Linked DNA regions of Oryza sativa Japonica Group. The main gene of each other region encodes a partner of the protein of the gene in region 2 in a complex. Links are inferred from orthologs where the notes say so. Each region holds a gene or a part of one and is shown on either strand. Other genes may lie near its edges.

Evidence for each region.
Region 1: photosynthetic NDH subunit of subcomplex B 1, chloroplastic (region 2) and photosynthetic NDH subunit of lumenal location 1, chloroplastic share a complex: the UniProt entries of both Arabidopsis thaliana proteins name them as parts of the chloroplast NDH complex. The link is inferred for Oryza sativa Japonica Group from reciprocal best matches to the Arabidopsis thaliana genes PnsB1 and PnsL1.
Region 3: photosynthetic NDH subunit of subcomplex B 1, chloroplastic (region 2) and photosynthetic NDH subunit of lumenal location 4, chloroplastic share a complex: the UniProt entries of both Arabidopsis thaliana proteins name them as parts of the chloroplast NDH complex. The link is inferred for Oryza sativa Japonica Group from reciprocal best matches to the Arabidopsis thaliana genes PnsB1 and PnsL4.

The regions. Positions count from the first base shown.
Region 1 is NC_089037.1:9,604,440-9,608,411, reverse strand, and holds photosynthetic NDH subunit of lumenal location 1, chloroplastic, read right to left. Parts: upstream 2,448-3,972; 5' UTR 2,328-2,447; coding exon 2,286-2,327; intron 2,210-2,285; coding exon 2,113-2,209; intron 2,027-2,112; coding exon 1,943-2,026; intron 1,800-1,942; coding exon 1,726-1,799; intron 1,616-1,725; coding exon 1,493-1,615; intron 1,361-1,492; coding exon 1,289-1,360; intron 1,104-1,288; coding exon 1,007-1,103; intron 854-1,006; coding exon 744-853; 3' UTR 540-743; downstream 1-539. Other genes in the region: E3 ubiquitin-protein ligase CSU1, read right to left, coding at 2,953-3,631. UniProt on the Arabidopsis thaliana protein: NDH shuttles electrons from NAD(P)H:plastoquinone, via FMN and iron-sulfur (Fe-S) centers, to quinones in the photosynthetic chain and possibly in a chloroplast respiratory chain.
Region 2 is NC_089042.1:10,685,913-10,690,264, forward strand, and holds the start of photosynthetic NDH subunit of subcomplex B 1, chloroplastic, read left to right. Parts: upstream 1-1,506; 5' UTR 1,507-1,703; coding exon 1,704-2,279; intron 2,280-3,035; coding exon 3,036-3,226; intron 3,227-3,747; coding exon 3,748-4,005; intron 4,006-4,125; coding exon 4,126-4,243; intron 4,244-4,352. UniProt on the Arabidopsis thaliana protein: NDH shuttles electrons from NAD(P)H:plastoquinone, via FMN and iron-sulfur (Fe-S) centers, to quinones in the photosynthetic chain and possibly in a chloroplast respiratory chain.
Region 3 is NC_089036.1:32,085,231-32,088,966, reverse strand, and holds photosynthetic NDH subunit of lumenal location 4, chloroplastic, read right to left. Parts: upstream 2,434-3,736; 5' UTR 2,359-2,433; coding exon 1,957-2,358; intron 1,723-1,956; coding exon 1,630-1,722; intron 1,524-1,629; coding exon 1,463-1,523; intron 1,335-1,462; coding exon 1,266-1,334; intron 1,088-1,265; coding exon 1,020-1,087; 3' UTR 968-1,019; intron 858-967; 3' UTR 540-857; downstream 1-539. UniProt on the Arabidopsis thaliana protein: NDH shuttles electrons from NAD(P)H:plastoquinone, via FMN and iron-sulfur (Fe-S) centers, to quinones in the photosynthetic chain and possibly in a chloroplast respiratory chain.

The DNA.
Region 1 (3,972 bases), on a different chromosome or scaffold from region 2:
TTAGTGTTGAGTTTGTTAGGTGTAAATTATCCTAGCGCGTGATCAAGTTCCTTTTCGCTCTGTTCAGCCAGGGGTCATGGTTCTGTGGCTTACCGTTTTGTCGGAGGAAAAATGTTAGGTGTCGCTGGCGCTGCTCTGAATGAGCGGAATGGTGACCTGGTCTTGACAACAAAATTTTAGTCTGAAGATTCAGATGACTAGCTTTGTTGAAACTCTAGGAACTTATTCTGGAAATAGTTAGCGGGTTTGGAGGGGAACTTATTCTGGAAATAGTTAGCAAGTTTGGAGGGCATTGTAATTGTTGTAATATATGAGTTGCAAACATTCTTTCTGAGGCCTGTGTACTTGATTCCTTTCGCCTCTGTAATGTATTGGTTTGATCGTGCACACGTCTGTATAGAAACGCTGTTGATCTGTTAAGTCCTTGGCTCCGGAGACTATGGCCTAATGGTCTGCCTTTTTAACTGATGGCTACTCGTCGCTTGCAAGTTGCAACTGATGGTTGAACCGATTCAATCAACATAATTAGATGGCTATAATAGAAAAATAGCTCTAATAGCATACACACAATTAATTAATTGAAGTCTATAAGGTAATTATGCATCCTTTTTCCTGGAAGCTGAGCCAGGGTGTTCGATCCAGCACTTTTTCTAGTGGTAGATCAGCGTCTGTATGTATGTATGTATCTACATGACTACGAAGCAATAAAATAAAAGATATTTCTGCAATTGAACTGCCTCCCATCACGCGGTGAGGTCGGACAGCTTGAAGGAGTCGGCGACGACTTTGAGCCTGTTCCTCAGCCTACTCCATCGCCGCTCGTTCGCCGTCACGATCAGTGTGTAGTACCGACCTGCCATGCCATTGCCATTGCCATCAGGTTAACCAGCTTCTTCTTATGAGAGGAAAAAAAAATACATGCATGATGAAATATACAATTTAATAGATGATGATGATATATATCTCTGCGATCTTGTGGTGAGGAGGCATCATATCAATATCATACCGTTTCCAATGGCAACCGTCGCAAATGCGGACACGCCGTAGCCCGGGGCCTCAAGATCGTACTCAAATGTCCAGTAGTTCTTGCCATCCACGGTGCGCTGCGAATCACAACAACTCAGTTGCTTATTTTGCTTGCAGAGTTGTTGCAGTCTTTGTTATAGCCATTCCAATGAGATCAGACGTAAATTAATCAGCGAAAGAGCAATGCAGCGACAGTTTGGTATACTCAGATAGATCATATGGCTAAATAGTATTGATTGAAGGAGATGGATAAATGGCAAACCTCTTGCATGTCATAGACAGTTGGTATTTGATTTGGAGCAGCATAAACATTGTTCACCAAATTGAAGATCGCCTGATAGAGGAGTATGTAAATTGTCAGAATAAAAAAAATCTATGATGTATAACAAAAGAAAAGGCTAAAAAAATTGCCTGATTCCTTTACATTACCAAGAAAGATATTATCAGATATCGCATGAAATCCTACCTCATCCATTGGACCAAGGTCACGGATATCTGTTTTTGTAGTAGGAATGAAGCCCACACGCACGCACTGCAGCGCTACATTACGATCTTTGAACGCTGAATCATGCCCCAGGAAGTCGAAATCCTGAAGTGACACATCAAAACAAAGGGCATACATCAATACCATGTACCACCGAAAACACAGTCATTGGAACTGACATCTCTGTTCTTCAAGACGAAAATATTGCAACCTACCCTCCAATCAGCTGGATACAGGTATGAATATCCATCTTTTGAATCCACATAAGACTTGTAATTCTTTGGCACTTCTGGAATATAGGAACAATCCGAGTTAGTATCATCTCATGGTGCCATAAAGGCTTAATGGCTACTTGAGAAGTGGGAACTTGTATGTAACATGCAGACAACCTAGTACTGAAATAAAACCATGCGACAGTTCAGATGGCCATGCCTTCAGCATATGCAGAGCTGCTCTTTAGCAGACCAGTGGCTAATGCTCCAGCACCAAGCAGAGCTAATCTCCTCCTTGTCACATCTGTAAGATGGAGAGATAATCAGCCAAAAAAAATGTTAATCTTCAGAAACAAAATGCATCGAGAGAACTGACAGAGAGGAATTTACTCTTTTCATCCGAGGATGCTTCACTCGAGCTAGCGTTGACGACTGACAGAGGAGACGCATTCAGCTTGCTGGTAACAGCACAATTTGGAGCAACCAACTGAAAACAACACCGATATAAAGTGGTGAAATAAACAAGATTCAGAAAACGATGAGAAGAGGGCACAAGCACACACCTGCTTGGAAACGGAGCAGATCAAATTCTGCAGGCTTGCCATTTCACCTGCAGGAGTAGCTATGAACCTGAAGAAAATACGTGTTCTTGCCTTCCTCCAGTCAAGTTATCCTTTGCTGCTAGGACTGGCTCGTTCGCTTTTCAAGTGTAGTCTGTGTGTCTGTGTGAGTGGAGGGCAAGGAAGCCAGGTCAGCATTTCCATTATCCTCATTAGAACTTTTGGCCTTGTCTCGTACTGAGCACTGACTGACAAAATGGGACCAATCCGTTCCTGTTGTGATTGTGGTGGAGATATGTGAGAGCTTTATGTTTTTCCAATTCTCTTTTTACCTTTTTTTTTGTACATTGACTTTGGCTGAAAAACAATATATGTACACACACACACACACGATCCTACCATCAGATCATGCGATACATATTCGATAGCTTCGATGTAACAAGAAAGATGATTTTGACTGTGCTTCAAACTTGGTAGATAAATAGTACAACAGCTGCGAACTAACGCATTTAGCCATAGCAAATAAGCAAAGCTGCAATTAGCAACCATAGTGCCACTAGCATAACAAGACTGAATTTGCTCCAGACTGTTCACAGCGAAAGGGGATGCTTGAAACAAAATTTTCAGGTTAACATAAATAATATACAACAGCAGCTAAGATATTTTGAGGCTAGTAGTTCTTTGGGGCAGGTTTCACTAAACCCAGTCCAGAACCACTCCCCAAATGCTTGAAATCTCTCGCCTCTAGACGCTCATCATGGGCAGCGAATCCAGTTCCTCCTTTTTCCAAAGGAACGAAATTCCTCTCCTTGCACGGTTTGTTGCACACCAAGCAGACCTTATCAGTTACAAGGAACTTGTCAGAGCACTTCTTGCAGAAGACATGGCCACACGTGCTGATCGTCACCAGGGACATGGTGTTTGTTAGGGTAGACTTGCAACTGGGGCACATGTAGCTCTTCTCCACCGACTTCTTGTTTTTCTGGTCGGTGTTTTCTTCAGTGAAGGAGATAGGGAAGAGCGATTTCAACTTGAGCTTCTCCTGTCCCTCGGGGCAGATTGTGTCAGTGGAGGGAGCTTCTACTTTGGCAGTAGCTTCAGGTGTAGCTGATGGAAGCCAGAATGCCTTCATGTTGCGAAGGGCTTCCTCCTCAAAGGAAGTAACCTTCACGCTGTTTGCTCCATGAAAACCATTCTTGTCTTCAGAGCCGCTGCGATCGTGGTATTGGGGGACGGCTCCATGATTCTGCTGATCAAAAGCGTCCAACTCCTTGGACTTTTGCAGCATACGCTTCTCATCCTCCTCTTCCTTCTCCAGCTTTTTCTGGGCCTCATGAGCAGCAAGTTTGCTGGAAGAACAAGAATTAACACTCAGAATTCCATCCGATTCATTCAGTTATACAAGCAGAAGATTTAAGATTATGTACGGAGATTTCAGATGTCCATTAGGCCACAGGAATTCTAGGTAAGCAAAGTACAAAAGGGAGACCACTTTGCCTATCAACACTAAGAGGTTAACAAACATACTGTGAAAACAAGCCAAAGAATGACATAGGTTTAGGTGCCTAAGGTACCATAGTCATGGCTACTGAGCCTGTACTATACAGGGTCTATCACCACGACATATTGGTGAAGGATCCTTCACCAGTCATCGACCGTGATGACATATGCTAGGCATATTAATCCAATG
Region 2 (4,352 bases):
GAGAGTCGTCCCTTTTCTCGGTGGGCAAGGTCCTCCTTTTATAGTTCAAGGGGATACCACATGCATCGCCTCTACCTACTCTTTCATGGGAGGGGGACCCACTTTACCTTGACCGGGCCACGATCTGTGCCTTCACCCGGAAGCTAAGCAGCGGCCCGTCCTTGAGTGGGACCCAGCGCCGCCCCCTTCCTAACACGGGGGACAGCCCTGTCATTCCCTTATAAATGGGCAGAGACCTTTGGCCGTCCTCCTCATGTCGGGAGAACTCCGGATGACGCTCCGATGTGACAGGACACACCTACCTCCACTCCGCTGGAGAAAAAGGCGACGTGGGGGCACGGCCGCCCGTCCAGTCAGACGTGACCGGCAACAGGCCGGTGACAGACTGGTTAGTCCTGACTGACGTGCGTCAGTCGGACGGCACCGCATGTCTGCCCCTACCGCATTAAATGCGGTGAGGGGCAGTTGGGGCGCCGCGCGCATTGATAGCGGTTCAGCCTGGGTCCCCTCCCCGCTCGCTCCCCCTGCCACATGGCAGTCGGGCGAGGTCCTCGGGGCAGGGCAGCGCGAGGGCCCGAGGGGCATGACGTGGCACCCTGAGGCCCCCCGGCCGCTTCTGCGATTCGCGAGGTGCGGGGGTAGGGCCAGGCTGCAGGGCCACGTAGCTGGATGGGAAGGTAAATTCCCCTCACTTTACATACCCCCGGGCCCATATCTCCGACAGATAGCTAGATAACATCAAATTAAGTAAATTAATGTGATTTATGATAATTTAAATTTAAATAGTATGTAGAATGGTGATTCAAACGTAAAAAGTAAGGTGGTATGACTTTATGGAAGAAGAAAAGTAGGGTAGTTTGGACCGTAGATTAATCATTTAAAGGCTAAAAACAATTGATGTGATATGACTTAATTAGAGGAAAAAAGGAGAAATATAATTTGGACCATAGATTAATCATTTAAGCACTAACTAAGTGAGGATGAACTATATAAGTATGTACTTCCTCCGTTTCACAATGTAAGTCATAACATCAATATGAATGTGGGAAATGCTATAATGACTTACATTGTGAAACGGATGGAGTAGGATTTTATAAAATATAGATATACATTGAAACATTGTGTGAATTATGTGGGATGATAATTTAACATGCTTGTATTTTAAAAGCTCTTAAATTATAAAAACTATAAAATTATAGATAATATAACATGTTTGCATGATGTTTAAATGTGATGATCGTTAGTGGATGATGATGTGGCATCTGGTTAATTAGTGGATAATGATGTGGCATCTTTGCATGTTAAGCTTAAATGAGTTAGTGGGGGGTAATTTTATAGTAAGATAGGATTAGTTCAGCTGTCATAAAGATAAATCTTCTACAATTACTCCATTCTGAAAGATCCTTGTAGAAACTCACAAGTATAATCCAAACTCCAAAAGAATTTTCGGAGGGATTTTGCCAGCTGCCACATCAACAAAAAGGATGAACCAAATTAAAGGAGATCGAGGAATGGTGGCACAAGAAAACAGGACCAATTGGCACCATCATCGTGCACTTTATCCTTCCTCCTCCACACATCCCTAACCCACCACATCCAAACCCCTCCTCCACACACCAAAAAACAAAAAACATAGAAATAAATAAATAAAAACAATAGCAATATCCAAAGCAACTCATCAGCACACTCACTCTGCAACAAGCATGCAGACGCCAACCATGTCGACGTCCATGGCCACGCCGGCGAAGCTCCCCTCACCGCCGTCGCTGCCGATAGCGAGGCAATGCTGCTGCCACCTGCTGCAGCTAGGGCGGCGCGGCGGCGCGGGCGTGGCGCGGGCGTCGGCGAAGAAGAAGAACCCGTGGCTGGACCCGTTCGACGACGGGCCCGACGACGAGTTCGACTACCGCGGCGCGTTCTCGGGGGGGAAGCAGGAGGAGGACCCGCGGCCGCCGGAGGACCCGGCGAACCCGTACGGGTTCCTGCGGTTCCCGGCGGGGTACAACCCGGAGCTGGATAGCCTGGCATCCAAGGTGCGGCGCGACGTGCGGCGGGCGTGCTGCGTGGTGTCCGGCGGGGTGTACGAGAACGTGCTCTTCTTCCCGGTGGTGCAGCTGCTGCGGGACAGGTACCCCGGGGTGGTGGTGGACGTGGTGGCGTCGGCGAGGGGGAAGCAGGTGTACGAGATGTGCAAGAACGTCAGGTACGCCGACGTCTACGACCCCGACGACGACTGGCCCGAGCCCGCCGAGTACACCCACCAGCTCGGCGTGCTCAAGGTAAACCAAAAATTATGTCACTGCTACGTACAGAAATAGTCACTCAAAGTGGGGATGTATATGTTTTAAACTCGATCGAGAAGGGATTATGTCCACTCGTTTATTCAAACTTCATCTAAATAATTGTTAAGAATTCTTTCAAAATTGACAACATACACACCGTACGTGTAAAGTACTCAAAAAAAAATCAAGTCAAAATTCAACTCACACATTGAGAAATAATTAAAAAAAAATCCAACATATGAGTAGTGTCATGTCTGAATTCGTCTTTTGTTTCCTCAAAGCATAGATCGAATTTAAATATGTTTTTATGGAGTAATAGATGTTATTATGCATTGTCATTTTTTTTTAGAATTTTTCACAACCAATTACATTGAATTTAGAAAATAAAAATTACACGAGAAGATATCCTCTCGAGAGATTAGAATTCTCTCTCCTTCAGAAGTGTCATGCCCAGCCCAGGTTTACATTCTCTAATGGTCAGCAGATTTCGACTTTCGAGCCATAGTGAGTAATCGGTTTTTCATTAATTTCGACAAATTTCAAACAAACCATTGGAGTTGCACATCTCGAGCCGGTTCGATATATGCGCTGAATTTGTTCAAAATTTATTGTGATTCTCTAAACATAATAATATCAGATAAACCTGCTTAATTATGTTGCTTCCCCACCACATATGCTCAGTATTTTGATTAGATTATATTTATCATGAAAGATTCAACCAACTGAAGCTTGATTTTGTGTTGAGGTTGGCAGAACAGGTACTATGATCTGATCATATCGACCAAGTTGGCCGGGATAGGGCACGCGCTCTTCCTCTTCATGTCGTCGGCCCGCGACAAGGTCGGCTATGTTTACCCCAACGTCAACAGCGCCGGCGCCGGGCTGTTCCTCACCGAGATGTTCCGGCCGCCGACCACCAACCTCGCCGACAGCGGCTACAACATGTAAGATCATCATCCTCCTCTTCTCCGCGGTTTCGCCTCCCCTTGGTTCATAACTGTTATAATTTCCTCATCCGAAAAAGTTACTGCTTTGGCATTCTTGTGCTGTATAGTTGCATTTAATTTATATAGGGGCAACTGTCTCATCTTTTGCCTTTGATTTAGGTTGAAAAGCCATAACAAAATGAACTAGGCAACCGAATATGATTTGTTGGCAAAACTTTTAACTGTTCTTAATGGTTCAAAAGTCAATATTGAGAAATAAACTATGATAAGGAAAACTCAAAATCAAATCTAAAATTAAATTTTAAAATTTAATATTTGGTTGCGGCTAATAAGACAAACAAGCAGAGGCAGAGTTATAACCCTTATAGTAAAGCAGATATTGCCTAGCTCTTCTTTTGCAACTTAGGAATCTTGCTCAATTATTCTTGTAGAAGAGTTGAACCAATTACCGTCAAAATCCTATAAAATTCTTGCAAAATGCTTTCTGATTTCGAAGAGTGTGCAACTGGATGGATTAGGTATCAGGACATGTTGGAGTGGATTGGGCGGCCAGCGAAGGGTGTGCCGGAGCACCCGGTACCGCCGTTGCGGGTGTCCATCTCCAAGAAGCTCCGAGCGTTCGTGGAGGACAAATATAGCCGTGCCGGCGTCGAGAAGGGCAAGTTCGTCGTCGTCCACGGCATCGCCTCCGACTCCTTCGCCAACATGAGGTCGAGGGGGGACGATGACTGCCTCCTCCCTCTCGAGCATTGGGCTGAGATCGCCAAGGAGATCAGGTTTTTCACCTCACCTCACTCACTCACTCAAGCACGGCTGCTCTTACACTTACATTTCCAGCTTGGTACCGATTGTGAGAAGGTAGAACTAAAGCCAAAAAAATGGTGGTGTCTTGGCAGCTCTGAAGACAATGGTCTGAAGCCTCTGTTTGTGATCCCTCATCAGAAGCACAGGGAAGAGGTTGAGGAGACTGTGGGGAAGGACACCAATATCCTGTTCATCACCACTCCTGGCCAAGTAGGTTCTTTGATGCTTCTTCATTACAATCACTTTGCAATCTGAAAACACCTTAGATCATCTTTCACAGGTAACATTACAATTCTTTATTACTGAGTGTTTTCTTTTT
Region 3 (3,736 bases), on a different chromosome or scaffold from region 2:
TTAGTGTTTACCATGGGCTCCTCGCCAACAACCATGAGGAATTTCATGACACCGAGCAGCATTCAGAGCATCTGACGAAAAAGGTTTTCGTTTTAAACCGACAAGAAGCTTTTGGAATTCTTGAGTCTTCCTGCCACGGAAATGGCAGCTCTCCTTTTCTTCCCTCATTCACCTACCAGTTCTGGCTCTGAACCGGTCAATCGATAGTTCAACTCTCACGATTTGGGTGTTCTTTGGTTTCATAAAAGGATTTTAGGATATTCTCTGAAGTCTGAACAATGCATGTTTCGATTTGATGGTTAACAAACCTATGATTAAATTATCTTGTGGCAATACTGCAGTGCAGACAGCAGTCAAAGGCTCAAAGCTACTACTGCACATGTGCTTTGACACGAACTTTCGACATTTTTTTGAGTACATTAGTATTGATACAGTCGATTAGCTTGCTTGAACTGTTGAAGGTTTGGAAGTCACCAGTCAATCGATATTCAGTCAGAGTTCAACTTCATTTAGTTAGGACTTGCCACAAAGGATGGGAATTTTTGTTGTGTTTGGCTGTACCAATGACAGTATGAATAATGAGACATGTCTTTACAACGTTATACTTACACAAACACAAGACTTTTCTTCTCTAGAAAACATAAGACCAATTTGATAGTATATCAGAGGACCGGTTTGTTATATATCCTTTCACTTCTTGGTACAGATTGCAAATGTAGTACTCTGCGTATTGGAGACCCAAGGAGCTCCGGTGACGCATTTGCTTTCGGCGTCTGGGCTTAGGCATGTCGCACCCTTTCTCTTCATCTGTCCGTAGTCCCGCCTCTTGTATGAAACGCCAAAATTTACTCGAAAATCTGCCAGAGAATGTAACATGCTTATGTAACAAACAACAACCCCTTTAGGCAAGGGATACTGTTTTCAGATGAAAAAAAAATCAGACAGGTTCAGAATACCACCACCATACCTTGTTTGCACCTAGTCTGTTCAAGTCATGCATATTCCTTTTCATCATATGCTCACTTGTAAAATCCAACCAGGAAGATGTCGTATAGGAGTGTGGTGTTGCCGGGAATATTACAGTCTCCTGTTAAATAAGTAAATCTTCTGTAAATTTGTATATTTTTTCTAGCGAATGCTAATAAGGGAGCCAGACAGATAGCACTGAAACATCGTTAAATACATGAAACTTAATCTGGTCTCAAATTTCTAGAATTAAATTAAGATTACTTGTTTGATTACTTTTTTTTTTCTTTCGTTATTACCTGAGAAGCAACCTGCTGGTTCAGGTCCGTATGCCAAAGTTGCAGGTATCATAAGCTTGCGCTTTCCACCTGTAATGTTATTGCGATTTTCAACAGAGACACGATGTGATTAAGAAAAATAAAAGCAGTACTATATTTTTAGCATTTGACACACAAAGAGATGCATATGCTTATTATTTCTGGATTTCTGACAGTACCAACGAGCATGGGTGGCACACCACCGCCACCACTGATTCCCTGTTCAAGCCCTCGGAGGATCTGAGAATGAAAATGCGAACGAACCAAACAATAAGATTCCTTGCATAACTACATAAGATGCTTGCTACGATCGAAGATGTACGTGCAATGAACAAAAGCTGCGCACCTTGCCTGCGCCAAGGCGCATTGTCAGTGGCCGTCCTCGCTTGTAGGTGCTGTCGAACACTATCCCGTCAGTAAATCTTGCAGTGTAGTGTACCTTACAACCATGAACACAACTCCAATTAACACACTTGAAACTCCTATCAGTGTCATGGCGAGAAAAAAATGGCAGGTTTATTCGTTGTCGAACTAACTAAAGGATCGGTACTGATGCAAATTGGGCAAATTTATGATCTGCCAATGCTTAATTACTCCATACAGGAGTTAATCATATTCAGAAAACACAGGTTCTTCTAGAGAAAGTGCGAGAAACTCTTCTGTCGGAACTGACATTTATGAGCTGGCCGCGCGGGGGCTGGGCGCCGGTGCCGACTTCGACGTCGCAGTAGCCGAGCCCCGACTTGACGACGTTCATGTCGCACAGCTTGTCCCCCACCGTCGCGTAGTACTCGATGCGCGTCGCTCCGGCGTCGCCGGCGGGGCACAGAAGCCCAGGGGAAGCCAGGAACCCCGCGCCCAGCGCGAGCAGCCCCCTCCTGCCGGCCGACGTCGCCACCGGGAGACTCCAGGCAGCCGAGCACGAGGTCGACGACGGGGAGGAGGAGGAGGAGCTGCTGCTGCTGTTGCTGCACGCCGCGACGGTGAGCGGCCTGCCCGGTTTGGCGACCGGAGGCGACGGGATTGGGTTGGAGGCCATGAGCGAGAGGGAGGAGGAGATAGGAGGAGGCGCCATCGGTGAGTGAGTCACTTGGGGAGTAGAGAATCGGATTATCCCCAAACTGTGGCTGCTGCAACGCGGGCACCTCTCTGTCGCGTCGTTATAAACGCCCGCGTACGTCGTCACGGGCCATGGGCTTTCCCAACTCAACACCCGAGGACCGAGGAAGGAATCCTCGTTTTTTTTGCGGGCCAAGCCGCGTGTCTCGTCGCCAAACGGCGGCCGTGGCCCGTGGAACGACAGATGATTCCAGGAAAAAGTACACCGAAGGTCCCTCAACTTGTCATCGAGTTACAAAATCGTTTCCCAACCGCAAAACCAGATATCAGGCGTTCCTCAACTAACAAAACCGTTCACTTTAGATCCTTCGGTGGTTTTGACCCCGGTTTTATTTGACGTGACGGCTGAGTCAGCGCGTGGGTCCCACATGTAAGATGCCATATCATCACCTCTCTCTTATTTCCCATTTTCCCCTCCTCTCCCTCCCTCTCTCTCTTCTCAGGGCGGCCAGCGGGTGCGGATTGCGGAGGAGGCTGGTAGGGCAGCTGGCGACGGGTGGCGATGTGGCAACTTGGTGCGGCACCGACGAGGATGGGGTTGGCCTGCAGCCAGAACGCCGCCATCCCCCACAGCTCCCGCAGCGAGCGTATGCTAAGAGGGAGGAGGCGGGGAGGCCGGCAGCGAGTGCATACGAAGAGGGAGGAGGCGGGGAGGGGTTGGAGGTGGGATGAGGGCGAGCTCGCCGGCCTCCCCGCCCCCCTCGCCAGACCTGCTGTAGCGCCCGTTCCGTCGTGGCGCCTAGCGGGGAAATTATCTCTTAAAAACCCTAATTGCGAAATTTGTTTCTTTGCTTGTTGTCTAGTATCCGTGCCATCTCAAGATCTCAATCCCCGATCTATCGTCGAGTTCAATTCCGAATCCAATCCCTCCAAATCAAATTCCTCCGCAAAAGTCCATTTTGCCTCCCCCAGGGTCGATGGGCCGATTTTCCCTCGGCCCATCTTCCCCTCTCTCTCCCGGCTCTCTCTCTCGCTTTCCCCGGCGCGCCCCCGCTCTCTCCCTCTCTCCCTCCGCTCCGCCCCGCGCCGCGCGCGCGAGCGCGCGTCGCCGCGCCGAGCGCCCCTCCCTCGCGCGCCACGCGCGAGCGCGAGAGCCGCGCCCTGCGCCCCTCCGCTCGGCCCCGCGAGCCAGCACGCGTAAGCCGCCCGCGCCGAGCCAAGTCCTCCCTCACCGCTCCCTCGCTGCCGCTTCCCGCGCGCTGTGTTCGCGTGCGCGCGCCCGCGCGGACGCCGCCCGTTGCAAGCCGCGCGCGCGTGCCGAGTGGTCGACCGCCCGGTCGCCGCCGCCGTCAGCCTCTGCACGCGCCTGTCGCCAATGTCGCCGCTCCGCTCCA